4 linked regions of the Lepisosteus oculatus genome follow. The protein of the gene in region 1 binds, or shares a complex with, the protein of each later gene. Links are inferred from orthologs where the notes say so. Each region holds a gene or a part of one and is shown on either strand. Other genes may lie near its edges.

Region 1 (7,572 bases):
CAGGTCTGTGTCTAAGAGCCTCGCTGGAGCGAGTTGTGACGGGTGAGACTTCGCTTGCCTTGCGGGCAGTGTCCCGGGCTGTGTCGCGGGCAGTGTCTCGGGTCGTGTCCCAGGCAGTGTCGCGGGCCGTGTCCTGGGTGTACTCTTCAAGAAAGTTGTCTTTATCATCTTCAAGTAAGGCTGGGTCATCAGGAGGAGGAAGATACTCTACCAGGAAGAACTTGGTGACGACTGCACTCTCCCTGCCATCCCTGAAACACAACGAGAACACGCCGTCATCAGCACCGCTGTACGTGCAGGGCTGAGGAAGCTCAGCTTCTTGGTGACACCACGGTGATCAGATGCCCCTGAAACAAACTGCACACACAAGACATAACAAAAATATTCTACTTGGAAACACAAAACTTTGTCAAATTCAGCACTTAACTAAAAATCTGAAAGCAGCAAAGCAAAGTTTTACATGTTAGCCTTCAGAAGGCTGGTATTTAAATTGCAAACAGCTGCTGCAGAGAGAGTGTAAGAGTGTCTGAAGGCTCTGGACACCTCAGTGACACAGGTACATTCTAACTGCACTCTACAGAAGCTGGAAACTTCAAATCAGGGTGTCCACATTGAGCCTCCTGCACCTTTGCTAACTTCTTTGACTAATGCCCAGTCCTTGCTTGTTGCAATCAACCACTTTCAGGCTGCTAGTTAACAGCTGATCCTCCTTTGTTTTCTAACATCATTATCTCCCGGGATATAAGCAGGGCAAGGCCAGGTCAGTGCTAGGATGGGAGGTATCAGGATCAAGCTGTTACTGGAGGTGTCAACCAGTAGGTGGCGCTATTTCCTCTTTTCTCTCTGAATCAGGATTTCTAAACCAAACTTCCTGGTTCGGTGGGAGGGGGCCAGAAGCACCCTGGACCTTCCTTTGCGACCCACCTGCTAACAGCGAGTGCTTTCACCGTTACCTTCCCCTCAGGTAAGGCTACGGGCCCCCGGTATCGCAGTGTGCTGCTCTCTCCAAACCCCGGCTTCTTCAGCACCTCCGGTTTACTGCCGTCCAGGGTGAAGAAAATACTGACGTCTGGGGTGTCTGTGAAGGAGACGTGCTGTAACCTCGTCAGCCACTCAAATTTGACACACCAGCCTAGTCCCTCATATTCCCCTCGTCGCGTAGAGAAAACCCTGAATCCCATTTGCCATCCCTTCCCTGCAGAGAGTTACAGGTCTGCTGGCCAGCACTGCCTCTGCACACGGCCTGCAACTCCAGCTGAGGAAGTTCCATTGAATTGGATCAATTCGTTTTGAAACTGATTGGTTTGTTTTAGTGGGAGAGTGACCGACTGACATGTGGAGGATATCCTTATATAAAGGTCAGTTTCTACAAGGTACAGCATTATTATCTACCTGAGAAAAAAATTGCACAACATTATCAGGACATCACTGCAGCCTCTGGCATTTCCAGTGACTTGAATAACATGCTGGAGGATGTTCAGCAAGACAAGCAAAATCCCAGAAAACACAGCAGCTCCCCGGCAGGACGTCGATGGTTCCACGATGAAGACTTTGGACCTGGTGCTCCTGGCTCTTACCTGACTTGATCTCCACGGGTGTGTTGGTGTCTATCTGGTGCTTGGCCTTGCCAGGCAGGGGAATTCTGATGGGAATGATCTGAGGTGCCACGATCGAGCCTGCCGTCATGTTCACTCAAGAAAACGACAGCTCTGTCGAACTGAGCCTGGAAAAGTAGAAGTCCAGTCAAATATAGATGCATAGTTTTCATGCACTCAGCAGACAGTGACGCAGAACAGTATATGTCTATAATACAGCGTCTCATTTGTGATCACTCATGACTACAGGGCAGGTCTGGTTTTTCGTCTATTTTCCATGCAGAAGGATCCATTCTCTCATTTTCGGAAAACTGCTTCTGGTGAGAGCAAGGCTAGTACCCCTTTTCCCAGGCCAGTAGAGGTGCTGAACCAGATCCCAGGCATGAACTGCTCTTGTCCTGCTCCAGAAAAACACAACTCTCTCCACAGAAACCCAGACACCCCCTCCAAACCCCGAACCCGAACCTCTCCACTAGCTGTGCCTGGGTATCCTGCCCAGGATCAGAACTAGACAGAACACGCCCTGCAGCCAGCGCAGCAGGAAGCTGTGTCTGCATCCCAGAGGACAGCCGGAGAGAGGAAAAGCTCATCCGGACAGTGAAGCCGGAATGTTGACCTCCATCCTGCAGCCCCCACAGGGTGGGGGTCACAGCCTGGAGTCACAACCTGGAGCGCCAGCCCAGCCTGCACCCCTCCGGCCTGGTGTCTTGAGCCAGGATCTAACCCTGGGCTGCATTACACAACACTCTCGGACCACGCATTGAGCAGTCCTTTACATGCACATGCAGTGTGGGGCTCCTGAGGGCAGATACAGCAGCTGTAGGATATTCTACCTGCTGATCAAAGCGATTGGCTGTTTTGTCCTTTCTTTTTAAATAAACCATTTGAACCAAAACGTTCCAAACCTATGATTTAATGCAATTCATTTATATGACCGGCACACTCAAGGCAGCATGAAGGAGGCAGATATTTACCATGTATGATTGAAAACTACTCACAAGTTACTCAGGTCTAGATCGCTCTGTGTAATAACAATAAGAACAACAATAATAATAATCCACTGGAACCAGTATCAGTACAGAAAACAACATCTTGCTACACAAAGGGTCCAAAAGGATCGTTCAACACAGGAAGAGACCCATCACGCCCCTCACTGAGTTCAGCTACCGAATTAATGAGAGCGTGAGGGTTGTGAGACTGTGAAGACCCAGAGCGGAACTTAGCCCGAACCTGAGGGTTACAGCCCTGCTCTTACACACAGCGCTGGAATCTGTCATGAACAAATGAACAAGCAGTCAGGACTTCACTCAACGTCACACAACGGGACACGCAATTAAAGACCTCTTTTTCTGATCTTAAGGCTATTTAAAAAGAACTGTAATTGGAAAACTGTCGGGCTACCTCTGAATCAGTTTCCGATCAATTTTAAGCGTACAAAAAACACGACAAGTGTGCATTCTTATTCCAATTACCAGCTGAAGGCGAAACAAATCCTGGATATGGATTTAAGGTGATTTCACGATCTTTCCATTCGTCCCCCGCACGAACTGCGATGATGTATATTTTAAAATCCCAAGAAAAAATAAATTGTACCTATTTAATTTAATATCTGCACATATACAATCAATCAATGACCGGACTGTGCAGTCGCGCTCCGCACCAGAATTGCGTGCAACCAGCTACGCTACGGTAACCAACACAACAGCGCAGCTCAGAATCCCATTGGAGGACAGCTTGGCCCCTAGCAACCAGCGGACCAATGGCTGCTAAAACAGCAAAGCTCGGACACCTAATGTAAAAGCTGCATTCACATGGAGTGGAAACCTATAATAATAATTGCTTACACTTATATAGCGCTTTTCTGGACACTCCACTCAAAGCTGTTTACAGGTAATGGGGAGTTCCCTCCCCCACCTGGATGATGCGACTGCAGCCATAGTGCGCCAGAACGCTCCCCACACACCAGCTATCAGTGGGGAGGAGAGCAGAGTAATGAAACCAATTCATAGATGGGGATTATTAGGAGGCCATGATTGGTAAAGGCCAATTGGAAATTTGGCCAGGACGCCAGGGTTACACCCCTACTCTTTTCTAGAAACGCCCTGGGATTTTTAATGACTACAGAGAGTCAGGACCTCGGTTTTACGTCTCATCCGAAGGACGGCACCTGTTTACAGTATAGTGTCCCTGTCACTATACTGGGGCATTAGGACCCACATAGACCACAGGGTGAGCGCCCCCTGTTGGCACCACTAACACCTCTTCCAGGAGGTACTGACCAGGCTCACACCTGCTGAGCTTCAGTGGGTTTCCAGTTGTGAGTTGCAGGGTGATCTGGCTGCTGGCTATTGAAACCTATTCTTGAGACTAATAACACAAATATCATCTTTAAATCACTAATTAAGCCGATTAAACCTAAAGATCAATTTAAAAACATATATTCTAAAAATGCATCTCATGTATCTGTTTTACAAACGTAAAGTACATCACGTATATACAATTGTATTACAATTAAATTATGTCTGGGTGTTTAAATAGTCTTAATTTCTCGTGCACTTCAACATAAAATAAAAAAATATTTGAAAGATTTCCTACGCGGTATAGGCTTTTTAACTTCACGTTTTGGTCAGGCACTCAGAGAGACTACTAAAACTGCGACACGAGGTAGAAGGACCCCAACCTTTTCGGAAATGCAGCATGGTTACCACCTAGAGAAGCTGTGTTGACATAGAGGTGGTGTTCCGGAGTTCATCGTGAATTAGGGATTACTGGATAGTTCAGTTGTGTTCTTCTGTCAGTTGAACATGGCAGAAGTTAAGGTAAAACAAGAATCTGCGGATCCCGTGGACATTGAAAACAGGTTAGGTTTGTCTTCTTTTAACCGTATGTCAACACGAAGTTAACAAGACAAAAACGCTCAAGAAACGTTACACACCGTCTCCGACAAAAAAAAAAATATTTAGGCTGTTACGTTGATTAATAAAGTGTTCAAGTCACGTGGTTTTGCCTAGCGCCATTTCACCTTAGAATTAGATTATTTTAAAAATTGAAGTTCGCTGGAGCTGAAAGTGTCGCGATATTCTTAAATGCAGCGACCTTTGTAACTCGTGCAGTTTTGAAGATACAAGTTACAATAAGACAGTTCACGAACGAGAGGTCATGGGCTCTGTGTAGATCGTTAGGACAATGGATTTGATCGATCTTAGGAACTCGTCCAATAGTTTCTGAGAGCAGGGAAGGCTATGCGTTTCAACAGTAGATTATTTTAGGTCTCCTTTTATATGACGTGTACCGAGTTGTTGTAATGTCTTGCTGGGTTCTGCTTGTCTAAGTGTTGGATAATTTGTCCAAACCAAAACTTTGTATGCAGTCCTTCAAGGAGCTTTAAATACGGCGTGTTGTACATTAAACACGTAGAGGACAACTGAGAAATGACAGCATGAGAACCTGGATAACTGACCCTCAGTCATTCCCGACTTCCAGAATAAAGGAGCTGTGCCAGCAGTTCCCGCACGGAATTACAGACCAGGTGATCCAGAACGACATGCCGCATGTGGAGCCACAGCAGCGGGCCATGGCCATCAACAGGCTGCTCTCCATGGTACATCCCACAAACCCTCTTTCATTGCTGTCAGCACACTAGCTAGCGCTGCGCTCCTGTCAAGGACTGGGGAGACCACGCTGGTTTAGAGGAAGAGGAATGGTTTGTTTCCAAACTATTTTCCATTTCATTCATTAGTTACTCATTTATTTTAATGTACAATGGTTGGTATTTGGCAGATTATTAAGATGCCTTTAAACATCTTTTTATAATCTCCTGTTATTGGAACATTGTGATAACTATTCAGTTATTATGTGGGGATCGTAAACTGAGCCTTCTCCTTCTTTCTTTTCACCTAATACTGCTGTTCTCAGACAATAGAAAGACAGAGGACCTAAAATTGTACATTCAATGCAGGAAATTAATAATTGACACACAGGGAAACAAATCTAAGGAGTTTATTCCATGCTGAGAAGCTGCTTGATATCTGTTTATTGGATGATAAATATGTAAGATTTGTCTCTTGTATCTTTCAGGGTCAGCTGGACCTCCTGAGAAACAGCAATGGTCTTCTGTACAGGCTGAAAGACGCACAGGTGGCCAGGTGCTCATACCTTTTACCTCAACACCATTGGACGTGATAGACCCTGCTTTGATTGAACTAAAATTGGAGATGAGCAGTTTTTCTGTAGAAAGCTGAAGTTGTATTCCAGTCTGAGAGGGTGACATTTTGGCGCTGTACTGCTCTGCCATAGAAGGACTTCTTTGTGCACACAGAAATTATTTCTAAGCAGTTAGATATTTCTTCAACTGTGTGGTATTTAGTGTAATCACTGTAACATAACTCAAAAATGAGAGTTGTCCAGTAGGGTAAAAATGTTTCTCATGATTATGTAGCAGTGTTCAAGAGGCTCGACAAACTAAGTGAACCACAGATTTTCTGCCACCTTAGAGTCTGCCTAGAGCTGTAGTGACCTTCAGTCAAGGAAATAGGTCTTATGCGTGCAAGCTGAATTTGTGATTCTCTTTGTAATGTAAGGTGGTCAGCATTGTATAATGTCTTCTCAGTGAGTTTAAAGAAAATGCACTGTCTGTCTGTACTTACACTGATGGACACCTATATCGTAACATTTTGCATTTGGTTATATGATTAAATTGAATATCAGTTCATCATCATTCATGTACTCCTGTGTGCTAGTGATTTAAATCACATGCTAGTGATTTAAAGTGAAATTTCCTCTTTTCACCAGTAAGATGAAGGGCTCAGACAACCAGGAGAAGCTGGTGTATCAGGTCATAGAGGATGCCGGAAACAAAGGTGAGCTTTCTGCTGTGGAAATCAAAATCTGCTCATTTGCACATGTGCTTCACCACATTAACGGCAACACTGCTGCACTGCTGTAACTGTAGACGTTACATTAATTATCTGTGTAGGAGATGAAGACATGAGAGAACAGGAGGTTAAGCAACTGTAATAACCTCTTCATATGGAGCAGTTGTTTGCCTTGAGCCGTTTGTTTTCCAATCACTTCTTCAGATTGACATCAGGAGTTTGTTCAGCTGAAAGCCACTGCCTACCTGTCAAAATCCTTAATATGTCCCATCATTATCATTGAACGTCATAGTCTGACTTAGTTATCTAGAGCACAAATGAAACTGGAGCACTGAGGCCGCGAGTGGGGTAGCATTGCTTCACAGTTCTGAGTGAATCGGTGGGCTGCACTACTGCTGTTCTTTGAAAGTGAACGAGTACAATGCTTCAGTTTCATTGGTTCATATTTGCAGACCTCCATGGACCTGAGTTTGTCATATATTTTCAGTGTGTTTTTTGCATTGCATTATTAATAATCTTTGGTTAAAGAGAATCACAGAGAACATACCTTTAGTAAGATTACACGTATTAAAACTGTTACACAGCTTGTCTATATTCATTGCCACTTAGAAGCTTCACCTCCTCAGGTCTCTGAAGCTAAGCAGGGCTGGAGCAGGTCAGGTAGTACTGGGATGGGGCACACTAGGATATTCAGGTTTCTGACAGAAGTAACTCTGGGGCACCACCAGGAGGCACTAATTCATCACAAACAGAAAATCCAAACCAGTAGCTCAGCATGGCTGATGTCCTTAGTACTATACGTGCAGTGTTGGGCTCTTTGAAAAGAACTAATAACTAAAACTGTTTTATTATTTACCAACATGCCCAGTGTCTTCATTAAAGATAGATCTTTAACTCAAAGATATTTCTAGTGGAAAGGAATTTTGATTACAGTGGTCTTTGTAAAATAAATTTGTATTATAAACACATTTATCGTTCCCTTGACTTTGGCAGGAATCTGGAGCAGGGATATCCGGTACAAAAGCAACCTCCCTCTGACGGAGATTAACAAGATCTTGAAGAACCTGGAGAGCAAAAAGCTCATCAAGGCTGTGAAGTCAGTG
Region 2 (8,061 bases), on another chromosome or scaffold:
GGAAACGTGTTCTTCACTCCAGTCCTATGCAGTGTGTTGAATAAAGAGGGTTTTCAGTAGTTTCTTCGCCATAAAATTAGATGACATTTAGACCAATAAGATAATTCCAAGCACCAACTCTGTTAAGGAATAACTTTATTGGTTCTGTCTGACTGCCACAAGTCATGGTATGAAATGCGTTAAGTTCTTGCTTATGTCTGGGTGAAATACATATGTAGCATTTCACATTTTTTCTTAATGTTTTCACTACACTCACAAAGTAGCTGTTTTGATGAAACTCTGCTTCCTGGTATAAAATAATAATTGCTTACACTTATAAAGCGCTTTACAGGTAATGGGGACTCCCCTCCACCGCCACCAATGTGCAGGATTACGCAACTTTGACCAAGTGTCAAGGATCAAGCCTCTTCACAAATGCCCAATGATATCAAGCAGGAACACTGCAGGGTGCAAAACCTTTTGAATGTGGTAAAGAAAAAGATTTGTGGTTTGTCCGTGGAGCCACCTGCCAGTAAGCACTCAATGAAAAATACATTGTTGCTTCTGTCGGCCATTCAGACCTTAATTATTCCATTCTAATTACATTTTTTAGGTATGTTTATTTCCAGTATATTTCTATTTTTTAAACTATGCTATTAACTACCTAGCATGTTTCAAAGTCTGAAAAAGCCTATCGGCTGCAGCTAGTAAAAATGAATTGATGATATATCGTAAATGTCCCATGGCAGTGCATGTTCGAGCTTCTTATGGATATTTTGCAAAAGCAGGCTGGCCTCCTTTGACATTGTACGCTCCAGCCCTCTCTGTACGCAATGTGAAGTGGCTTGCAGTGCTGTGGAAAGGCTGTGATGTTAAAGGTGGGTTGAAGTGCACAAGTATTTTTTTAGGAAAAGACAATGAGATCACCTTCAATCCAGTCACCGGTATTCTCTGTTTCTATCTGTGTTGCCATGTAAATTACACTGCTGCGTAAGATGAGCCATGCGAGCTGCTCCACTACTACTGCACTGGATACTAAATTATTCTTTTAACAATAAAAACAAAAAGCAAAGCGAGAACCAGCCTCTTTCCTTTAGCTTTCTAAGAATATGTTGGTTCTGAATGACCAGCGGTTTTGAACACAGGATCACTCGACACAGTTTTATTCTGCTCACTTCAAGACCTGTAAAAGAATGACAGCTTCACATTTCCTCTCATATTTCACCCGGTAATCTCTTCAGTGCGGTGAACTTTGTTCAAATATATACACGTATTAAATAGCTTAATACGACTACAACCAGAGCTACTCCACAACAGGTCTGTCTGGCACAGAACAGGCTGTCTGCTCATTCCTCAGAGCCCTTTCAGCATCCAACACCAAGAACTTCCCTGGGAATATTCAAGACAGACAAGTGTCATGTTTCAATTGCAGCCCTACGGTGTTTTTGCTATATCTCGGCTGGGGATCCTGAATCACTTCAACGAAGTGATTCTTTAGATGCCACAGGACCGTTAATTATTTGTTCAAAAACTTAGCATGGCTCCTTCACTTGGAGTACACATGAGAATTTCCGATGGCCGCTAACCTGGGGGGGGGACGGCCAGCATGCCTGTTCTAAGAGGTTTAACACACAGCGGGGGATCAGACAGCGAGGCGAGGGCCGGTCCCTGCGGCGTTCAGTCTCTCCAGCGGTGCCCACACTGCTGGTTGCAACACTTGTAGAAGGTGGTCATGGGCTCATCTGCCGAACGGGTCTGGATCTGCATAAAGTAGGCCCGGGGGTGCTCGCACTTCGGGCAGGTCTCTGGAAAGAAGACACCAGAGGTAGCAGATGACAAAATGGTGTAGGATTGGCACCGGACTTCCTGACTCGCACCACTGGACACCTCGGGAAAAATGCGGGATTTTCCCCATCTTTGGCCCACGGCACATTTGCACTAGACAACGAATAACGAAAAACGGGGATTTGTTTTCCCCTTTCTCGAGTGACATTACCTGGAGTGGAATCCACATTCTCCCAGGCCGCAGCGCCGCCCAGAACGTCATCAACCTCCTTCAGTTTGGGGTACTTTCTGTTGGTGACCTACAGCATCGAGAACACGCTGCGTCAGGAAGACGAGCAAGACGGGTGTCTTACACGCAGAGCACCACCCGCCCTGCAGACCTTCTAGACCTTTCGCCCAGATTATAGGGGTCCCGATGGTCTTTTTTTTTTTCAGGTGACATTCGCCCATGAGAATACTCTCGGAGGCGCACGCATAGCGCCATTAAATTAAACTAATTAAACTCCACACGCAACTAATCCTGCCATAAATTCTCAGATTCCCATATATACCCCACGCCACTCTGTTGTCTCCCTCGCTCGCTTCGCATCCCTACTCCTCCATCCCCATCTTTGCTTGTGCAACTACACCTTGGTCACCTTTTCACCGGGCATGGGGTCTTAGTCTCCTCGCCCCATGGCCGGGAGGGTAGCCCTCAGCCAGGGTGGGCGGGGGTTAAACCAGGTTTCCACAAACTCATTAAACGATTTTACTTTCACGCAGGATTCGGCTGCCCCCGTGAAGGAGGAGCAGCAGGAAGATTCAGCCACTGGGGGGGGGTACAGCCCAACTACTGCGCTTGACTCGAGATAGTGGGGAAAAAATGTAAGAGAAATGAATCCAAAATGATACACAATGTTAGCAAAAAGCTGCATCATAATTTGGACCGCTGAATATGTTTGCTTGTGACGCATCTATACCCAATGAGCAAACGCAATTATTAAAATATAACAAACGTCTTAAAATACTAAAGTATACGACTCAGGCACGATGATAGAGACCCTACGCAATGTAACAAGAGCCTTGTCGACTCTCTTACCTTCCTAGTTATGTTGTGTATATAGGGACAGGTGTTACACGCAAACCTGTAACACTTCTGCCCTTCTTCCACAATCAAGACATTTCCACAGGTCGGACAGAACAGCAACATCTCCTATCTCAGAAGAAAAACAACTGTATTTGTTGAAAAAGACGTCTTCGAACCTCAAGACGAGTTTTTCGCGAATTCCTCAAACTGCACGCCGCAAACTCTCCCGTGTCACGCAGTTTTAAGTGTCCGCTAGGAAACAATTCCTGACTCAGACAGTTCCCACAGCGCCTGCAAACGAGTCGCATTTGTGGTCGAAACTGTTAACAGTTTAAACCACTATCAAATCAGAAATATATTAGGTAATGTATAAATGTATTAGGTTACTTTTTGTCTATGGCATATTCCATATTTGTGAGTATCAGTGTCCTAGGTACAAGAGTCGCCTAGTTTCTCCGGGGAAGTGAAAATGAACGGACCCGAGAATTGTTTAAGCGTCCGTTTTGGAAGACAGCGGAGGAGAAGCAGTGGTGAGTGCTATTTAGCGTCTCATTTTATAAAGGTGGCGGTTTTTCTTTGGAGGTGTGATGAATACTCTGCAATAACTGGACTTGACGTGAATATACTTGTCAGAATTGATCTAGTTGATTCATGATAGACCGAGTTGTGTTCAGTGCAACCATTAAGCATTGATTTAAAATTCTTCTCGTCTGGCCGTGATGAGTGATGACCCCTTGTCATGTTGCACACAGAGTCTGTTCATTGCAGTCCGCCGGTGTGGGTTTGAATGGAGGGCCTGTTTTAAGGTCTACTCGGCCCCGCTGTGTGTTCATCCCCCCGAGTGCTGATGGCCGAGGCGGTGGAGACAGGTTCCCCGGGTCTCGGTGCAGGAGCGGCGGTGAAAGAGGAGGACCAGACCGGAGAGCTAGAGACGGAGGACAAAAAAGTCGAGGAGGAGGAGGAAGAGGAAGATGAGGAAGCCCTGCCCCACGCGGAGTTCCTGGACATCTTCGAGGAAGGTCTGGCTCAGATAGTGCAGGACCCCCTGCTCTGCGACCTGCCGATACAGGTTGGTTTATCTGCCTCGTCGGCTTCTGGATCCTGGATAAGCTGTGTAACCCAGCAAGACAGATTTGGCAGCAATCCCTGTCTGACATGAAACAGGAGGGCACGTGTGGCTGCAGCATAGAAAAAGTGTGAAAGCTGTGAAGCTGGGGTGGGGTGGGGGAATAACCCAATATGACTTTGAAACCCTTCAAACCCACGACCCTCTGGGACTCGGGACTGAGCGTTCCACAGCTGAACCCTCCTGCCTGGCTTTCTGTCACTCCAGGTCACTCTGGAGGAGGTGAGCTCTCAGGTGGCTCTGGAGTATGGCCAGGCTATGACTGTGCGTGTCTGCAAGGCCGACGGGGAGGTCATGCGTGAGTCACGAGTTTTTGTTTCTTGGCTTTTTCCCCCCTCTTAACCTGTTGTATGATCCGCAGGAAATCAGGCAACCAGATGCTTCTCTGTGGGGTTGTTGGGTCACTGACTTGGTCAGGCCCAGTGGCTGTCAGCTGTTTGAATTCACAGTCACTAGTGAACCACAAGATGTGAAAGCGACTCCGGAGTGATTTAAGCTACTCAGTACAGGCGTGTAGGACAGGTTCATCGACCCTCTGGGTTGAGGTAGTTAAAGATCGTAAGAAAACTTGAAAATGAGAGGAGGGATTCTTTTTCAGACAGCGGTGCTTTCTTGCAGCGATCGTGGTGGTGCAGAACGCCTCCGTGCTGGATCTGAAGAAAGCCATCCGCAGATACCTGGAGCTGAAACAGCAGCGTGAAGGAGGGGTGAAGCACATCAGCTGGTAGAGTGTCCTGCAGTCGAAAAATACAATAAAACGGTCTAGACTGGAGTCGGGGGAATTTTTCCTTTTGACAACATGGTCAAATACTAGAGATCCTGCATGCTTTTTTTGTAAAAACTCTGGGATAAGACGCTGAAGCGTGAATTACTTTAAAGTCAGACATCACTGTAGGGTCATTTTAACATTGATCTTTCTTTCACATCCTGTGCGTAATTGTGCGAGGTAAACTTCATCGCTCGTCCTTTCCGATTTCTGCCTTTTCAAGGAGGTACGTGTGGAGAACCTATCACTTAATCTTCAACGGGGAGAAGCTGGAAGACGACAAAATGAAGCTGAAGGAGTAAGTAAAAACAAACATTCCCCTTCCCTGGCATTGCTGATGAGTGTGAGTGTCTGTGCTCTGTGAGCTGTGAAGCGAGGGACACAACAGTGGATTATGTATCGCAGAATGTGGCGATGTGCAGATAACCGATCGGTTTAGGGCTCATTCGAACCAGACCATCCCAGGTGCTTTGTTGCTACTGGGTTTTAAAGGAGACAGCAGCAGGCGGGGGTGGAGATTGTGTTATTTTGTTGAGAGGTAAAACTGTGTGGAATAACCTCACTTTCAGGTTTGCTCAGAGAGAGTTCTTTGTGTGGAACCCCAGAGCTTTGTCCTGAAAACTCTCTCTCTTTTCTTTGCACAGTTACGGCATAAGGAACAGAGATGAAGTGACTTTTGGCAAGAAACTGAGGAAAAAGTAAAACAAGGTAGCGTCTTACAGATTTACCAGTTACTTAAGAAGTTCTGCCCGAGTTGGGTTCCTTTTCCTCTACGCTCAGTTCGGCCCTGTGGGATGCATGCAACACAGGCATTTCTGAGGTGCTACTGGTGCCTTGCTTCCTGAAGTCTGACCTGTTTGGTACCCGGGTTATAAATAACACCAAGCCAAAAAAAAAAGTTCAAATGTAGACCGCATTTGAATATATGTCTTCATATTCAAATTAGTTCTCTTCACTGTGCTTGAGGAATTGATTCAGCCTTTATATACTCATTTTCTAAGGCTTTTTCACAGTCCAAATGACCGATACAGAGCCGTGTTCTGGAAATCTGAAAGATGCAAAATGAAGTGTTGTAAGGAAATGTCTATCAGATCTTTGAAAGTTTATAATGGCGACTGTGCGCTCACTGTGCTGGTCAAGCCCCGGCAGTTTGTGTGTCCTGATTTACGAGTCTTTTTGAAGTTTTACATCGCCGACATCAGAACCCGACATTGTTTTGAATTCTCGGTGACGCTAGTGGATTATGTATCGCAGAATGTTAAACACATTGCACCCAGTGATGTAACGAACGGAGTTCAGCCCACTTAAGATAAACCTGTACTCCATGACTTGCTGTCTTTAAAGTGCTAGTTTGTTTCAGGTAAGCTAGTGTTGTTAACAGAATGTCAGCGTGTCATTCTCTGGACGTTTTGTTGATTTAGGTGTGCAGAGACGGAGCTGTGAGGATCATCTCACTCCCCTTGAAGAGCTATACACCTCTGCTCACTCCAGCGTTCAGCTCTGTACACTGAGAAAGCTTTGTATGACTGTTGTGTCATTAGGTTTGTTTTATAGAGATTTCATAAAAAACTGTATTTTTTCACATTTTGTAGATGGTTGTACATTGATTTCTCTGTGTAAAAAAAAATTGTCAAGTGAAAAATCCGCATTAAAAAACTGCAGTGCTCCACTTGTTGAGTGTGCGTTGTTCAATGACGTTCCCTGGTTTGGGCAGATGAGATGGCCCTTTGTCCCCTGTGGTATTTACAGTTCAGTGAACATTACAGCAAACAAATTAGATGCTTCTTTGAATTCCCCATCCTTCATATATACAGGGATTTGGTGGGATTTGGGGGTTCCTAGGGCATAGATGTATATAGCAGTGTGTTATACAGCCGAAGATGTGTATACTAACATTGTTTTTACTGATCTCATGCCTCGTTTTAAAGTATAAGTGAAGGTGTTAAGGACACTGTACTATACCACATACTTTAAATATGGTGTTTGCAACAGTTTTTTCTCCTCTCTATACTGGGCAAAGAGCAGGTGTCTATTTCCTGGAGTCGCAGAGCTGCACTGAGCTTCGGGTTGCACAGACAAGCTTCTCTCGCCTGGCTTGAAGAGAGGTGAGATCTTCAGCTTTTGTGTATAAAGGTTATTTAACACTTGAGAACATTAAAGTCTTGGGCAATGGAAACATCTTTATCTATTAAATCAAGCGCTGTTGAAGATGTACAGTACGATGGAAGGGTGGAGAATTGGGGAATACATTTAATTAAGCTTTTCGTGTGCTTATATGTTGCTTGAGTGCAAAAATAAAAATCATTTGATCGTATTTATATTTCACAATGGACTTGAGACAACTGCATCTGCCTCCCAGTGAATGTACGTATAGATTTTTTTGCTGTGTTTCTGCTGGTTAACGTGGTATGCACACTGTTGGCACGAACCTGTACTTTCGAAAGCTGGCACCGGGGTGGGGGGGGTTAGTACTGCCAATTCACTGCTGCTCTTGGGTCCTGGGTTCAGTTCTTTCGGGTGTTCTCCCTGGGGGTGGGGTGAGTTTTCTCATCTCCCACAGACTTGCTGGTTAGGGTCATGGGTGTGCCCTGCAGGGGACTGGCATCCTGTCCGGTGTGCCCGACCCTGATCGGAACAATGCGGGAGCAGAAGTCCATCGACCCCCAGGCTGGAAGCGGAGTGTGGCTGCCTGGCCTCTTCTCTGCGCCGCGGTTTCAACGTCCTGTTGAAGCTGGTCCGCCTTCTGTCCTGAGGAGGGTTTGCTTGGGAGCTTTGCTCTTTCTCTTACTGCCTGGGGCGCGGTGGGGGGAGAGTTGTGTCAGCAGTGAAGGTCTGGATGTTGGGCCCTGTGATTAAAGCCCTGCTGAGCTCGATGCTGCAGTGAGACCACGCGGCCCGAGGTAGAGTAACCAGCTGGCCAGCCTGCTGGCCCCCAGGGGCCTGTGCTCGGCGTTCCGTTTTCCCTCAGCTCCTCGTCTCGTCCCCAGGAGGTGGCCACAGCATGCCCAGCCCGCAGGAGCTGCAGGAGCTGCAGGAGATCGAGCAGGAGCTGAGGCGGCTGCAGCTCAAGACCCAGCAGCTGAATGACCGGCGAGCGCTGCTGTCCATGCTGCAGAGCTTCCAGGAGGACACCAAGATCATCGCCCCTTCTGGCAGGAAGAAGAAAGGTCCCCTGGTCCCCGGCCCCCGGCACCCGCTGTTTTAACAACACACACGCCCGCCGATTTTCTTTTAAAGCCAGGTTTCTTGCCAAGACCCGAGCTGTGCTTTGGCCGATTGTTAAATTTGTCCTCGTGCCACTGTTCATTCAGTGTCCAAATAACGCATTCTGGTGTCTAG
Region 3 (7,974 bases), on another chromosome or scaffold:
AAATCAAAGTCGGACTTTTTTTTTTCTTTACTTGTGATCACAAAAAACTGGTACGAGGGAGTAGGGTAGGGTAGTGCTCTCGCAGCTGGCGCTGCTGTCTGACAGCTGTTGGTCTGGCGTGGAGTTTGCACCGGGGACCTGACCTCCTCTCACCTTCCGCGGACATGCTGATAGGGTTAATTTGCGTCTCCCAGTTGTCCTCGAGTGTCTGTGTGCGCCGGTGCACGATGGATATACTGTATGGCCACTCGGAGTCCTTTAACTGCCGGGATGGCTCCAGTCTGCCGCGACTTTCCCGGGAGTGAGCCGTTCGTCATCATGAACAAATGCATAATTTACCCGACGCCCTAAACTATACATCTAATTTATTTTTTAAGTGTACGTGCAGAGAGCACTCGTGCTGGAGCATGCAGGTAAGAAAATAAGACGGGTTACAGCCTGGAGGAGGCGACTCGGCCTTTCTGATGACAAGCTCGGTTGCTCGTAAGTAATTGATACAAAGGTCCACCCTTTTCGCGAAGGAAGTCAGGTTGTCGGCTCTGGCAACATGACTGGGCGGCTTATTCCAGACCCCACAGCCCTTTCTGTAAATATTCCCCCCTGTAATTAGATTTAAATCCCCCTCCCATAGACGCACTTAATTTGCACTGGTGTTTTGCTGTTGATTTTGATCAATGGTCCCCGTCTTTGTCAGTGCATCGGGGAATTGTGAATACTGGAATCAAGTTCTCAATACTAGGTGGGTCGAATAGCCTCCTGCTTTGAACGTTTCTCTGTTCAAGATTAAAACGGATCCTTTCGTATAGCCTCTCGGGGCAGGTAAATAAATGTAATACCATGGCAGTGCAGCTACAGTAGCAGAAGCTGGACAAGCAATGCTGGAGTCAGGCAAAGAAATAAAACGGTAGACCTAAATCAGTATACAGAGTGTGAATACCAGGGTGTCACGTAAACGCCCCATAGGTAAGTTGTATTCATAGTAAGGGCAATTAGCACGTTACTTTACCAGTCTGAGGATGAAAAAAGTCAGATTTTGCCAGTGTATTGAAACACATAGCTGAGAGGCCACAGGTGCCTTGTGAAGAGATTCCTTAGTACTGCGTTTCCCTTGCTCGGCAGAATTTAAAGAGATTAACTTTTGTTAATTCGGAGACGGGTGATAAACACTTCTCTGTATGAAAACCTACCCAGATTAGTGAACTAAAACTAACGAATTAGTCATAATTAATACGGTAAAACATTTTTCACCTAGAAATCTACTTGAAACTAAGGGGAAAAAAACACCGGCGTGACATAAACACTTCAGATAATAAACCACGCGTTTAAAGAACGTGAAGAAAATAGCCTTAAAACATTGCGAAACCATACAATGCATCTGCAACATAATTTAATATTGTTTTTAAGCATGGCCCCGTAATAATAATAATAATAATAATAATAATAATAATAATAATAATAATAATAATATTTTTAGCAGGTTCACAATGTGTCGTGGAGCTCAGAAGCCTGTTTTTTCTACGTTATATTCGGTATTCTGGAGCGACCCACCTCCCTTTCAAATACAATCAGCAGCTTTTACAGGGTCTTTGATAGGAAATGAGCGGGTCTTCACTATAACTCAATTTATTAACATTTCATTTTCATTGCCCTCTGACTACAGGACATATATTCTCCTTATCGGTCATATGCCATTATATGCTGTGTATTACTACTACATGTCTTCTGGAAAGAATGATATTATCGGGCTTCTCGTTCACACCGACTAGAAACAAAAGCGCAACTATATTCCCGTCTGTCAGGCGCTTCAGAGGTCCTGAAAGTAGGAAACCTCCGCAAAGCCAACACCGAGGAGGCGGGATCCCGGCTGGTTTTGGTTCAGGGACAGCAGTCCGCACCGAGCAGGAGAGGGCTGCGCCTTTAAGCCGCCGGGTGTGGCCGGAGCGTGTCGGAGGGGCGCAGTCGCAGGTCCGAGCCAATCACGAGCCCCTCGGACCTTGTTTATCCACTCAGCTGCTTTTTCTCCCTGCAGGCTGAGCGCCTGTCGCGGTCTCCTCCTGTTCTGCACAAGCCAACCCTGGTTTGCATTGCGCCTCCTCACCGGACCGGACCGAGTCTGGATTCGGGGCTCCACGTCCCTGACAGCTCGGTGTCTTTATTTTATTACGCGTGGGTGGGAGGCGGGTGTCGGGATGTCTGCGACGGAGTGGTACGCTCACAAGTGCCTGGGCGACGGCGTGTTTTGGATCCAGGAGAGGTTCTACGAGTCGGGCAACAGAGCGAACATCTGGCTGGTCCGCGGGTCGCACCAGGACGTGGTGATCGACGCCGGCCTGGGCCTCAGGAGCCTGCCGGACTACCTGCGCGCCAAGGGGCTGCTGGGCGAGGAGTCCGGCCGGAAGAACCCCCCGCTGGCGATCGGGACCCACGTCCACTTTGACCACTCGGGCGGGCTGCACCAGTTTCGCCAGGTGGGGGTTCACAGAGCCGAGGCCGACGCGCTCGCCACGGGGGATAACTTTGAGATGGTGACCTGGCTGTCGGACGGCGAGATCGCCCGGGCTCCGACACCCGGCTGGCGGGCCAGCGAGTTCAGAGTGCAGGCTGTGCGACCCACTCGCGTACTGCAAGAAGGTGAATATCTCTAGCACATATAGGCATGCACCAGAGCCGCTTGTGCGTGAAAGGGACGGCGACGGTGCGGTGCGTGGTCATATTGCGCGTTATGATAAGGTAAACTAATGCCTTACCGTTCCGGACACCGGTTTTCAACAAGTGGCGAAAAATACCCGTGGCATCTGCTTAATTAACAGCAGAGTTACACAGAGGCCGTCTCGCATTAGCAGGGCTAATCTGTCGCCCTGCTGGAGGTACGTTCAGCGTCTCTCGGCCCGACGGAGTGAGCTTTAAAGACGCCATACGGCGAGGAAGGTGGGGGAGGGCGCAGGCTGCGCTCTCGTTTTTCCGGTGTCGCATCGAGAAGACGAGCTTGAGTATTATCAAAAACTAAACATAGGTTTCCACAGACGTGCGGCGTTATATCTCTAATAAACTATTTCATTAACGTTGTTGCTTGGGGGTATTTTTTGTAAACGGAAAAGATATCCAGAACACAATCTTGCGCTCGGTGTATTTATGCGATCTGTGCCTTTCCGATTGATTTGGACGTTTAGGGCTCATAGCCAATGAAGCAAATAAAAGCATTGGTACCGGGTCGAAGTACTCCTGTACCACACACTGCTATTCTAGACGAGCAATGAGAAAATTGCGTTAAGGAGCGTAATCGGTCCCAAATCCGATGAACTGCATCTCTACAGATTCATCCGCCTCCTTGATTCGTTACAAGAAGGATGACAGACTGCCTGCACTATAGTCACAATCTTCCACCCCCCTGAAGACACCAGAGAGGGAATAATACTGTATCTCCAACTAGCAGCGCTCGGGGGGTTGAAACGGCCTCTTCGCTCTGCTGCTGGTTCCGCGCAACACTGTAGCCCAAAAGTTTGTCAAAGCACGGCGGTGCAGAAAAAAACACGTTCCCAATTAAATATCCTAGACTCTCTGAGAGAACTATATCTCTGGGGTTACGGGGAGATACTACTGGAATAACTGCACGTCTGCCTTTATTATTCCTAACCAGGAGCTGGTTATTGCGCAGTGAACAGGTGATCGCGCCGTGGCAGTGGGGTGTTTTGGGGGGTGTCCCGGCGGGACTGCGCAAGTTCTGTGGCGTCCCTCGTCCGGGCAGACCGGGACAGGCGATGTCGGGCCGCTGTGGATCGATTTCAGCCAGTTCCGGTAACAGAGTAACTGGACCTGGGAGACTCTGGCCTGATATTTTCGCACATGACCTTCACAGCAGCGCTTTTGTTCTGTCCTCTCACTGATACTTCAGTGATCCCACTGTTGGCACAGTACGATTCGGCACAGCTCTTCTCACACCCAGCTGCAGGACACCGACGTTCCTGCTGAAAGAGACAAATCTGCAAGCGCTGATATTTCTGATATATATCAGAAATTATTTCTGGTATATGGGGAGCCTACATGAGTTTATTTCACTTACAACGGGAAACGTACAAAATGACGAGAGTCATTGTCAAAACCAGTACAGTTTGCAATGTGACCATGGGTTTGTATAGAAGTGGCATTTTTATAAAGCTTTTGGGAGATACACGAAAGAATGCACTAACCTTTACACATATTCAGACGTTAGACTTGAGGTCAGTCTCTCATGCCTTGACCATTCTGCCCTTCTATTATAAGCAGAAAACTAGTGAAAGACTTGGACACTTTGAAAATACTCTCAGCAGGGTTCAATCTGAGATGTCTACTACCTTGCAACCCACATACTGTCTTCAGAAATACATTAATTCATTAATTTCACATGCAGTGTTTAAAAATCCTCAAAAACGAAATCAAAGTGGACAAGAAGGCAGTAATTAGGATTTTAAGAAAATGAACTGGAAGTGAAAATTAAGTTTGCATGCAAGTAGCTGGTAAAATAACAACTAGTAAAATGGAAATCCTTTACTGTGGATAGTAAGCTGTTCTTCCTGTACCTTATATTCACAACATGAGAGAGTGTGAATGAGGAAAGTGCCCAGCTGTGATACCGTGACATCAGTATTGCACATCTTCAAAGCAGCAGTTGCTGTAAAAGTCTTTTCTCTTAATGAACTAACACATCTGAAATACGTGACTTGGCTGGGACCCACTCGGAATAGCTTCTCCTGTAGAAAGACAGACAGAGCCTACGGCTGCTCTACTAGATTGTGGAACCTGAGATGTGGAAAAAATATCCCTGCTTTAGATGGAAAGGAAAAGTGACATCATGTTTTATTGACACTAATAGGGAAAACTGAGGGATATTGATTATCCATAGAATAACCATCCGTAGTTCCTAGCCTTAAGCAGCCTCCATTTTCCCTGAGATGACTCAAACTTTCCCAGGGATTTTCTTCCAGCGTGTCCGTGAGAAGTTTCACAGCCCACCAGTAATATTAAAGGGGGACTGTAACATTATTTTCATATTTCGGGGTCAGCATTGATGTACACAGTAACTGGTAAAACCTCCAATTGACATCACAAAATACATGAAATTTCCAGGTATGTGCAGTGCCCTGTCCTGCCATTCACAACGAGGCAACAAAACTTGTGGTGAGATGATGTGGCCCCATTACGTTGTAAATAAGCCGGCTTGTGCATACAGCTCTTTTCATCCGATAGAAATATTGTCTCAACTTCGAGACAGTTTTGCAGACAAATACTGCTTGTTAGCTCTGCATGGGGATCACGCTGGAATAATTCTGCGGTGAAATGTCGGCTGCGCTACCTGTACTTATTCGCTCGTACATCGCATTGCATTGGTCAGGGCAGGAACTAGTGAGCAGGAAGGGCCGGTTCACGTTGCAATTCTTGGGGACTCGAATAAGTTCCCAGGGGTCTGCCACAACACGGCGACTCCGAATGCACGGTTTTGTGCTTACTTTGAAATTTGTGAGTTTTCTTCTGTACTGTCGATTGATTTAGTTTGTTACAGGTAGGTAGGTCCTTTTACAGGCCATAAAGGCCCATTGGGGATAGGGGGGCAAGGGCCACCATTTTTCTTGACCATCCGACACTGGAGGTGATGTGGTCAGCATCACGCTCCGGCTGACCGATTTCCCCCGGAAGGATTAACCCCGGTACTCGCAGGTTGAGCGGAGCTGGGAGCCGTCTGGAAGGAATTAGGGCAAGCTACATCGCTTAACCCTACCTGGGATTGAACCCGGGACCTTCCGGTCAGGAGCTAGACGCCCTTGCCGTCTGCGCTACCACGGCTCCGAGTTGTTCTAGAGGTCTGAGAAAGTGGGACTGCAGTTCTCCTTGAAGAAGGTGCTCTTGCTGTTTCCTCAGGAGACGTCATTAACCTGGGCGACAGGCAGCTGTCGGTGCTGCACATGCCCGGCCACTCCAGAGGCAGCATCTGCCTGCACGACAGGGACCGCAAGATGCTCTTCAGCGGGGACGTGGTGTACGACGGCTCCATGATCGACTGGCTGCCGTACAGCAGGGTCAGCGACTACGTCTCCAGCTGCGAGCGGCTGGTCGAGCTGGCGGACGGGGGCCACGTGGAGCAGGTGCTGCCTGGCCACTTCAACACCTTTGGGGCCGAGCGGCTGTACCGCATCGCCTCCAGCTACATCGCCAGCGCGGGAGGGTGCCACCGGTTTTCCATGTGTGCCCTGAAGTCCGTCGCAAGCCTCGTTCTCCGTGCCTGCAATTCTAGACACGGGTGTTGACTGGGAAAGGCAAACGGCTGCTTTATACGTTTACAGTATTTTGTTTATGCTAACTGTCTCAATTGATGAAATGTGTTCGTAAAATTTAGCCCAGTACTGCAGTTGCACTAATTTTGACTTTGAAATGGTAATTATTGCACTAGTTTTGATTCTTAAATGTGTGCGTGTTGCAAATGCAATGATTTGGGTTTGCACATGGATGAGTGTATAGCTTTAAGCCTCGAGGTACAAAGAAACATACTTGAAGCACGTTTGCATTTTTTTCTGTAGCTTTCCAAAGCATGAAACGAGGAGTGGCGGAGCACATATCATTTGCTGGGAATTTCGTCTTCACGTGAGACATGGAGAAGCAAGTTTTTATTTTGGCTGATGCTGGTTTGCTGTTGTGGAAGATGGAATGATCTCACTGATGCGTCCATCATCTGGTCTCCGTGGCCGCTGTGTGTCCAGAGCTCCGTGACGCTGGACAGGACCCTGGTGTGCCTCTGGGCTCATGTTCATACACATGGGGCAGTTTAGAGATGATAATTTACCTGGGCAGCATGTTTACTGGGGTGGAGAGGAAAGTGTTCAGAGAACACGACAACAGGCCCCACAGGTGGACTGTTCACTCACACAAAGCCAGATTTGAACCCAGATCCTTGGAGCTGTGAAGTGAGGGCACAGTCCACTGCTCCAGCATGCTGCCACTCATACCACAGTATCATAAGCAAAGACAAGGACTTTTTTAAAGCACTTGTAGGCTTTTGACTGGCTTAGTGGCAATTCAGGGTGGTTTACCAACCCAATTTTATTCAGTTAAGAATGATTCTTTCAGATTCTTTCTGTTTTGTATCTCTGTGCAATCTTGATGCTGAGTTTCAAATTTTGAGTGTTTAACTTCAACTTAACTTGTGTTTCCCTGGATGACGCGAGAAGGCAGGTGGTCATAATTGCTAGAAAACCTGTCCTGTGCTGTGATGGGGGTAAACTTGGACACTTGGACACCTGACCCCTGAGCTTACTTTTGCCCTTTTTCCACTTAAAGTAGAGCTTCACCCCTCTTGTTTTTGAATGTAGGTTAGTTAAAGGGAATTTTTAGTTCTTCTCATAAGAAGGCACTGATTTTTAGTAGATGACTTTAAAACATTAAAACAGTATTTCTAACCATTCCAAAGAATCCCACAGTACTTTACTAATGAGAGAATTGACTTAAGGAGGACATGTTGTGTAAACGCAGCGTGGAGTTTAGGAAGGACTCCTTCTCTCAAGCAGAGCTATGGGATCTGTAGTGACTGTGTAGTCTGAACGTCAGTTTAATTGTTTAATTCAAACACCATCTCCTATAGCACGGTGTCCCCGCAAACTGAGGAACCGGTTTGAGAATTCAGGTCCAGAGGAATCGGCACCACCTACTGGTCTTCTAACATCTCTTAGAGCAGCTGTTTTTCTTTTAGAGGGCATGCCCATACTGACCTGGCCCAGGCTCACTTAGCTTCTGAGATGTGTCAAGAACACTGTCACACACTTAATTATACAGCAGAGGACAGTTTGAGCATTGCAATATTTGTTTTTTCAGATCTGGAATTCAGTAACATGCAAAGATCATGCATGTTTGTGAGCATTAGTTGCAAAATCACATTTATTCTTACTGGCCACCTTGTTTTTGTGCTGACACTTCTCTCAACAATCGTCTGAATTTAACTTTCTGAGTCAC
Region 4 (7,905 bases), on another chromosome or scaffold:
GACACACAGGGGGCCGGTCAGCCCAGCCTGCCCCCAGCCCCACAGACAGGGGGGCCGATCAGCCCAGCCTGCCCCCAGCCCCACGCAGACAGACAGACAGACAGGGGGGCCGGTCAGCCCAGCCTGCCCCCACTCAGACAGACAGACAGACAGACAGACAGACAGACAGACAGACAGACAGGGGGGCCGGTCAGCCCAGCCTGCCCCCAGCCCCACGCAGACAGACAGACAGGGGGGCCGGTCAGCCCAGCCTGCCCCCACTCAGACAGACAGACAGACAGACAGACAGACAGACAGACAGACAGACAGGGGGGCCGGTCAGCCCAGCCTGCCCCCAGCCCCACGCAGACAGACAGACAGGGGGGCCGGTCAGCCCAGCCTGCCCCCACTCAGACAGACAGACAGACAGACAGACAGACAGACAGACAGACAGACAGACAGACAGGGGGGCCGGTCAGCCCAGCCTGCCCCCAGCCCCACGCAGACAGACAGACAGGGGGGCCGGTCAGCCCAGCCTGCCCCCACTCAGACAGACAGACAGACAGACAGACAGACAGACAGGGGGGCCGGTCAGCCCAGCCAGCCCCCAGCCCCACACAGACAGACAGACAGACAGACAGGGGGGCCGGTCAGCCCAGCCTGCCCCCCCCCCCAGCCCCAGGCGCAGGGCTACCTGTCAGGGTGATGTGGGGCAGGGTGTACCTCTCCTTGTCGCCATCAGCCAGGGTGGGGGCCGGGCAGGCCGCGCTGTCGCCGCTGCGCTCTGCCACTGGGGGGCAGCGCTGCAGGAAGTGCGTCTCCACCAGGCGAGAGAAGACGCTGGTCACCTCGCTGTACTCCATGCTCTTTCCCTCTGTAACCACACAGCCGCACAGAGGGTCAGGGACACCCCCACATTCGCAGCCACCCCAACTTACAGCATCGACCGAACAACTATTGGGAGCTCAGGGTGCTGACAGACAGACAGGCAGACTCTTTGACCCTCGAAGTGCTGGCAGACAGGCAGACAGGCAGACAGGCAGACAGGCAGACAGGCAGACAGGCAGACAGGCAGACAGGCAGACAGGCTCTTTGACGCTCGGGGTGCTGACAGACAGGCAGGCAGACAGGCTCTTTGACGCTCGGGGTGCTGACAGACAGGCAGGCAGACAGGCTCTTTGACGCTCGGGGTGCTGACAGACAGGCAGGCAGACAGGCTCTTTGTCGCTCGGGGTGCTGACAGACAGACAGGCAGGCAGACTCTTTGTCACTCGGGGTGCTGACAGACAGACAGGCAGGCAGACTCTTTGACCCTCGAGGTGCTGACAGACAGACAGGCCCTCCTCTCACCCTCCATGCTGTCGGTCAGCCGGTCAGCCACTGTCCGCACGGCCTGGCTCATGGTCATGTGGCCGTGCTGCAGCAGCTCCTCCACCAGCAGCTCCGCTGCGTCGCCATACAGCGTCTTGGCCGTGTAGATGTAGCGAGGGAAGCGCAGCAGGCCCAACACGCGCGGCTCCGGCAGCCTGTACTCCACCCCCCGCCGGCCCGGCCCGAACTCACACAGGCCCTGCTGCAGCAGCACACACAGGCACTTCTTCACCTGGGGGGGAGAGGAACACACTAGCCCCATGTCGGACCAAGACAAGACCACTGGACACAGGCAGACCTGGCTGTCCAGAGAGGACAGGCTCAGTGACCACAGCCTGGACACAGACACTGGACACAGGCAGACCTGGCTGTCCAGAGAGGACAGGCTCACTGACCACAGCCTGGACAGAGACACTGGACACAGGCAGACCTGGCTGTCCAGAGAGGACAGGCTCAGTGACCACAGCCTGGACACAGACACTGGACACAGGCAGACCTGGCTGTCCAGAGAGGACAGGCTCACTGACCACAGCCTGGACAGAGACACTGGACACAGGCAGACCTGGCTGTCCAGAGAGGACAGGCTCAGTGACCACAGCCTGGACAGAGACACTGGACACAGGCAGACCTGGCTGTCCAGAGAGGACAGGCTCAGTGACCACAGCCTGGACACAGGCAGACCTGGCTGTCCAGGGAAGACAGGCTGTGCTCCCACTGCCAGCGGGGAGAAATAGAGACAGAGGTGCACTTCCTACTGCACTGTGACAGATACTCTGGGATTAGAGAAACATTCTTCCAGAAATACAGAAATCTAGTCCCACAGTTCCCACACCTGCCAGAATCACAACGGGTCCCAATCCTACTGGGAGAGGGAGGAGGGAACTCAGTTGAACTGGCAGCCCAGTATGTGATCTGCTCAATATGTTTACAGTATATGTACATATTTTATAATTTCTTTGTAGATTTTATTTTTTGTTTTGTTCCATGTTAATTTTATTTTTATTTGCTTTGGCAAAACTGATTGTACCCATCGGTCACGTTAATAAAGCACCTTGAATTGAATTGAGAGGAGAGAGGGGAGAGGAGGGAGAGAGAGGATGGGAGAGGGTAAAGGGGTTGAGCGGGAGGAGTGGACCAGAGAAGTCAGGACACACCATGAGACTCAGGGGCAGGTAAAGGGTCAGAGAGCGCGTTACCAGGTGCAGGGGGGTCCCGGTCCCCGTGGCGATGGCCCTCAGGGTCTGCTCACCCCCCTTCAGCAGGAACGTCCCCACTTTCTCCACCACCTCGCCGAAGTGCTCTTGCAGCAGCAGCGCGCACAGCCGCACCTCCTGCGCCGTCATCTGCACAGAAACACGTCCCAGCCGGGACAGACCTGCAACCGCTGGCGCCTACAGATGTAAAGCGCTGATTCCAGAATCCCACTCCTCAAGACTCACCCTGCTGCTTTACAAAGAAGGGGTTCTTTCCAAAACCACTTAAGCACAATGACTTTTATTTAACCGGCATTTGCCCAGCATATAACTCTTTCTGCCTTGTTTATATCGTTCCCATTTCCCTCGACAAGACACGTGTGCGCCATCTACTTCCGCTATTGCCTTGCCCCGCACAAAGATGGCGAATCTAGTCCCTCCCTTCCCACACACTTCCGGCCTTTACCCTTCGGCTTTTTCCGGTTGTGATCGGTCTTCTCGGGGGATGAAATCTCGGTCTAGTCCCGCAAGAGGCATTCAGGGCCGGTGGCGGACCGCCTCCTTCCGTGAGCTGGAGGACCGACGTCACTGTTTGTGCCATATTCCAGTGGAAGATGGCGGAGGCTGCGGCTGTTCCCCAACATCGTTTCTTCTGTCACTGCTGTAAGGGGGAGGTGAACCCCAAGCTGCCGGTGAGTAGTCCCGGTTCCCACCGACTTTGCTCTGATTGAGACAGGCCGGGCGGAGGCGCGCCTTTTGCGGTGAGCGGTGCGCACTCGAGCCCGGGGCTGTGCTTGACACTCCGAGTTTGTTTACAGGCCTTGTTTGGCTTTAGCTGGTGGGGGGCGGAAGGGGGGAGGGAATGTTTCGGATTTTATTTATTGATCCGCTCCCGCGGGTGTCGGTGTGCATCTCATATTTCGGGGGTTTGTTCGAGGGCAGGGGAAGAGACCCGCCGGGCTGTTGTCAGTCATCTTCGGGGGTCAGCGGCGAGCGGCGTCCGTCGCAGGGGTTGCGGGAGTCCGCAGCTGGGACTGAGCTGTCACGGCTCTCGGCTGGAGGACAGGGGTCATAGACAGCCCAGTCTGGGAGTGGGTTCGGACCTTGTCAGTCTGGGGAAACGCGTTCCGGTGCTGGAATCAGTCTGGGACCTGATGTGGAGACTTCAAGTACCGTCGAGACGACCTGCTGCTGTTTAGATAACAAAAGCCTGTCAGTGCGCGGTAACTATACAGGTAACTACAGCCGTCCTGTCGGTGCGCGGTATCTACAGTCAGGAAACCACAGTCGTCCTGTCAGTGTGCGGTATCTACAGTCAGGTAACTACAGCCGTCCTGTCAGTGCGCGGTAACTATACAGGTAACCACAGCCGTCCTGTCAGTGCGCGGTATCTACAGTCAGGAAACCACAGTCGTCCTGTCAGTGTGCGGTATCTACAGTCAGGTAACTACAGTCGTCCTGTCAGTGTGCGGTATCTACAGTCAGGAAACCACAGTCGTCCTGTCAGTGTGCGGTATCTACAGTCAGGAAACCACAGTCGTCCTGTCAGTGTGCGGTATCTACAGTCAGGAAACCACAGTCGTCCTGTCAGTGTGCGGTATCTACAGTCAGGTAACTACAGCCGTCCTGTCAGTGCGCGGTAACTATACAGGTAACCACAGCCGTCCTGTCAGTGCGCGGTATCTACAGTCAGGAAACCACAGTCGTCCTGTCAGTGCGCAGTAACTATACAGGTAACTACAGCCGTCCTGTCAGTGCGCGGTATCTACAGTCAGGTAACTACAGCCGTCCTGTCAGTGCGAGGTATCTACAGTCCGGAAACCACTGCCGTCCTGTCAGTGCGCAGTAACTACACTCAGGTAACTACAGTCGTCCTGTGGGTGCGCAGTAACTACACTCAGGTAACTACAGTCGTCCTGTGGGTGCGCAGTAACTACACTCAGGTAACTACAGTCGTCCTGTCGGTGCACAATAACTACACTCAGGTAACTACAGTCGTCCTGTCGGTGCACAATAACTACACTCAGGTAACTACAGTCGTCCTGTCGGTGCACAATAACTACACTCGGGTAACTACAGTCGTCCTGTCGGTGCACAGTAACTACACTCAGGTAACTACAGTCGTCCTGTCGGTGCACAATAACTACACTCAGGTAACTACAGCCGTCCTGTCGGTGCGCGGTAACTACACTCGGGTAACTACAGCCGTCCTGTCGGTGCGCGGTAACTACACTCGGGTAACTACAGCCGTCCTGTCGGTGCGCGGTAACTACACTCGGGTAACTACAGCCATCCTATGGGCGTGCGGTAACTACAGTCAGTCACAGGTACTGTCAGTGTGCAGTAACTACAGTCAGTCGGGGTACTTGCTCTGTCAGTGCTTGACAATCTCTGTTTTTAAGAGCTGCTGTTGTCTTTATTTCAGGAATATATCTGTCCCAGATGTGAATCTGGTTTCATTGAGGAGGTCACAGAGGATTCCAGGTAGGCTTTGCTTCTTCACAGACCACAGTCTGTATTGTAAGTTTAAAGTAGGCACTCATGTTGTTCCTCACCCTGTTGTATTGATTTTTAATGGTGACCAGTGTGTGTTCTGTCATTGTTGTTGCGTGTGTCACCGTGTGTTGTTGTGTGTGTCACATGATGACTCTGGCATTGATTAGCCCTGTCTGTACTCCCACAGTCTCCTGGAGGGCGGCGCCAGCGGGATCAACGATGATGCAGCCTCACAGTTTGCAGAGGTATTGTGCTCCTTTTCTTGGTGTATGTACATGCATGCAAACATTGTGATCTCACTCCTCACTCTCCTCTGTCCCCAGTGTGTGCGCGTGCGCTCATGAACACTGTGACCTGACTCTCTCCCCTCGCTCTCCTCTGTCTCCAGTGTGTGTGCGCGCGTGTGTGCGCTCATGAACACTGTGACCTGACTCTCTCCCCTCACTCTCCTCTGTCTCCAGTGTGTGTGCGCGTGTGTGTGCGCGTGTGTGTGCGCGTGTGTGTGCGCGTGTGTGTGCGCGTGTGTGTGCGCGTGTGTGCGCGCGCGTGTGCGCTCATGAACTCTGTGACCTGACTCTCTCCCCTGGCTCTCCTCTGTCCCCCAGCTCTGGCACCTGCTGTTCGTCGAGCGGCCCTTCTCACTGGAGCAGGACAGCCAGGAGGGGCCTGAGCGGCCAGGCAGCACCGATCCCTGGGGCCCCGGGAGGCCCCACCGCCTGCACAGCCAGCGCCGGTACCGGGCCCGGGGCAGCAGCCGGCCCGACCGCTCGCCCGCCGTGGAGGGGTGAGGGGCTGTCCTCTGCACCGTGCTCTCTGTCTCTGTCTGCTCCTCTCTTCCCAGGTCCCAGGTCGGAGCAGCAGGAGAAGAGGCTTAACAGGAGGAAATCGCAGCTTAATTAATAACATTTAATCCTGTATTACCACCTTCTGTAACCCTGCAGTCAGTCTAGTAGTGCTGTAGACACCACCGGGTACTGGAGGTGGGATGCTGGTGTTTTGCCCCTGAGTGGGTGGACTCCAGAGGGACAGGGTGGGATCCTAGCATTTCTGCCAAATCCACAGTTCCTCCTCCTTTCTGTAGATATCTGTCTCTGTGTTGCTTTCACTGTAGACATGTCAGTAAGATCAGTATCCTCTCTCTCCTTGTCTCCAGAATTGTGCAGCAGTTCCTGGCTGGTCTGTTCGCTAACTCCGGAGTCCCAGGGTCGCCGCCTCTCTCCTGGTAAATCCTGTTTCTCTCCGAGTGTGTGACACCCTGCAGTCTCTAATCCCCTCCGCCCCGGCGTCCCTGCGGTCACCAGCTCCTCCCCTCCGCCCCGGCGTCCCTGCGGTCACCAGCTCCTCCCCTCCGCCCCGGCGTCCCTGCGGTCACCAGCTCCTCCCCTCCGCCCCGGCGTCCCTGCGGTCACCAGCTCCTCCCCTCCGCCCCGGCGTCCCTGCGGTCACCAGCTCCTCCCCTCCGCCCCGGCGTCCCTGCGGTCACCAGCTCCTCCCCTCCGCCCCGGCGTCCCTGCGGTCACTAGCTCCTCCCCTCCGCCCCGGCGTCCCTGCGGTCACTAGCTACTCCCTTCTGCCCCGGCGTCCCTGCGGTCATCACAGAGGGGTGATGGCACAGAGAGGAACGTGTCGGAGTCTCACAGCGATCTCTCCATCTCCCCCAGGACGGGCATGCTGCACTCGAACCCGGGGGACTATGCATGGGGTCAGGGCGGGCTGGACGCTGTCATCACGCAGGTGAGTGACATCACCGGACCCCTTTATGACATCATCTGAGCTGGTGGGTAATATACTGTACAGCTGGATCGCACAGAGCTGGATGTGAGGACTGAACTAGAGTCCCACTGCCCTGTCCCCTACCTTCGCCTCACTGTGTCAGAGAGTTGTCAGGATAAGGCTCTGTCATACTAATACTATACTGTCCTGTCTTAGCTGCTGGGTCAGTTTGAGAACACTGGTCCCCCGCCCGCTGAGAAGGAGAAAATCTCGTCTCTGCCCACAGTGCATGTCTCTCAGGAACAAGTCGGTAAGAAAAGCTGCCCGTTATTAGTATCAGTAACTTCACCACCTCTCCTGCTTCCTCTTAGACTGCAGACATGGTGAGAAGGGCTGTGTAATTCCTGTGTCACCCAGAATCCAGTCTGGAGTGTCCAGTGTGTGCAGACAGTGTGATTCCTCTCTCTCTGTCTTACCCCAGAGTCCAGTCTGGAGTGTCCAGTGTGTGCAGACAGTGTGATTCCTCTCTCTCTGTCTTACCCCAGAGTCCAGTCTGGAGTGTCCAGTGTGTAAAGAGGACTACGCCTTGGGGGAGCCCGTCAGACAGCTGCCCTGTAATCACTTCTTCCACAGCGACTGCATCGTACCCTGGCTGGAACTGGTGAGGACAGACAGACGGACACTTGTCTCACACACACTGACACACATACTGACTGACGGATGCAAACAGGTAAGTACTGGGCTTTACAGAGCAAAGGGACCCGCAGGTTGTCCCAGCGAGAGGGGCAGGGAGAGAGACAGGCAGGGAGAGATTGTCCTGAATGTGAGACAGGCAGGGAGAGAGTGAGACAGGCAGGGAGAGATTGTCCTGAATGTGAGACAGGCAGGGAGAGAGTGAGACAGGCAGGGAGAGATTGTCCTGAATGTGAGACAGGCAGGGGGAGATTGTCCTGAATGCGAGACAGGCAGGGAGAGAGTGAGACAGGCAGGGGGAGATTGTCCTGAATGCGAGACAGGCAGAGGGAGAGTGAGACAAGCAGGGAGAGTGAGACAGGCAGGGAGAGATTGTCCTGAATGCAAGAAAGGCAGGGAGAGAGTGAGACAGGCAGAGAGAGGTTGTCCTGAATGCGAGACAGGCAGGGGAAGGTTGTGA

The links.
Region 2: polr3f (region 1) and polr3k share a complex: the UniProt entries of both Homo sapiens proteins name them as parts of the RNA polymerase III complex. The link is inferred for Lepisosteus oculatus from reciprocal best matches to the Homo sapiens genes POLR3F and POLR3K.
Region 3: polr3f (region 1) and polr3g share a complex: the UniProt entries of both Homo sapiens proteins name them as parts of the RNA polymerase III complex. The link is inferred for Lepisosteus oculatus from reciprocal best matches to the Homo sapiens genes POLR3F and POLR3G.
Region 4: polr3f (region 1) and polr3c share a complex: the UniProt entries of both Homo sapiens proteins name them as parts of the RNA polymerase III complex. The link is inferred for Lepisosteus oculatus from reciprocal best matches to the Homo sapiens genes POLR3F and POLR3C.

The regions. Positions count from the first base shown.
Region 1 is NC_090712.1:581,086-588,657, forward strand, and holds the start of polr3f (DNA-directed RNA polymerase III subunit RPC6), read left to right. Parts: upstream 1-4,267; 5' UTR 4,268-4,399; coding exon 4,400-4,455; intron 4,456-5,078; coding exon 5,079-5,196; intron 5,197-5,672; coding exon 5,673-5,740; intron 5,741-6,386; coding exon 6,387-6,454; intron 6,455-7,462; coding exon 7,463-7,572. Other genes in the region: dzank1 (double zinc ribbon and ankyrin repeat-containing protein 1), read right to left, coding at 59-251, 925-1,078, 1,578-1,686. UniProt on the Homo sapiens protein: DNA-dependent RNA polymerase catalyzes the transcription of DNA into RNA using the four ribonucleoside triphosphates as substrates.
Region 2 is NC_090714.1:15,977,386-15,985,446, reverse strand, and holds polr3k (DNA-directed RNA polymerase III subunit RPC10), read right to left. Parts: upstream 3,179-8,061; 5' UTR 3,139-3,178; coding exon 3,007-3,138; exon of another isoform or gene 2,954-3,006; coding exon of another isoform or gene 2,843-2,953; intron 2,064-2,842; coding exon 1,976-2,063; intron 1,785-1,975; coding exon 1,657-1,784; 3' UTR 1,127-1,656; downstream 1-1,126. Other genes in the region: snrnp25 (U11/U12 small nuclear ribonucleoprotein 25 kDa protein), read left to right, coding at 3,678-3,899, 4,164-4,254, 4,575-4,680, 4,946-5,020, 5,367-5,424; uncharacterized protein, read left to right, coding at 7,806-8,061. UniProt on the Homo sapiens protein: Core component of RNA polymerase III (Pol III) which synthesizes small non-coding RNAs using the four ribonucleoside triphosphates as substrates. Can mediate Pol I proofreading of the nascent RNA transcript.
Region 3 is NC_090698.1:72,665,636-72,673,609, reverse strand, and holds the start of polr3g (DNA-directed RNA polymerase III subunit RPC7), read right to left. Parts: upstream 3,471-7,974; 5' UTR 2,748-3,470; intron 2,632-2,747; coding exon of another isoform or gene 2,190-2,631; exon of another isoform or gene 1,830-2,189; intron 1,399-1,829; exon of another isoform or gene 1-1,398. Other genes in the region: acyl-coenzyme A thioesterase MBLAC2, read left to right, coding at 2,190-2,631, 5,893-6,278. UniProt on the Homo sapiens protein: DNA-dependent RNA polymerase catalyzes the transcription of DNA into RNA using the four ribonucleoside triphosphates as substrates.
Region 4 is NC_090722.1:7,225,635-7,233,539, forward strand, and holds the start of polr3c (DNA-directed RNA polymerase III subunit RPC3), read right to left. Parts: upstream 3,145-7,905; coding exon 3,010-3,144; intron 2,742-3,009; coding exon 2,547-2,741; intron 1,583-2,546; coding exon 1,330-1,582; intron 854-1,329; coding exon 674-853; intron 1-673. Other genes in the region: rnf115a (E3 ubiquitin-protein ligase RNF115), read left to right, coding at 3,158-3,235, 4,969-5,027, 5,227-5,284, 5,645-5,823, 6,193-6,261, 6,701-6,773, 6,969-7,062, 7,298-7,413. UniProt on the Homo sapiens protein: DNA-dependent RNA polymerase catalyzes the transcription of DNA into RNA using the four ribonucleoside triphosphates as substrates.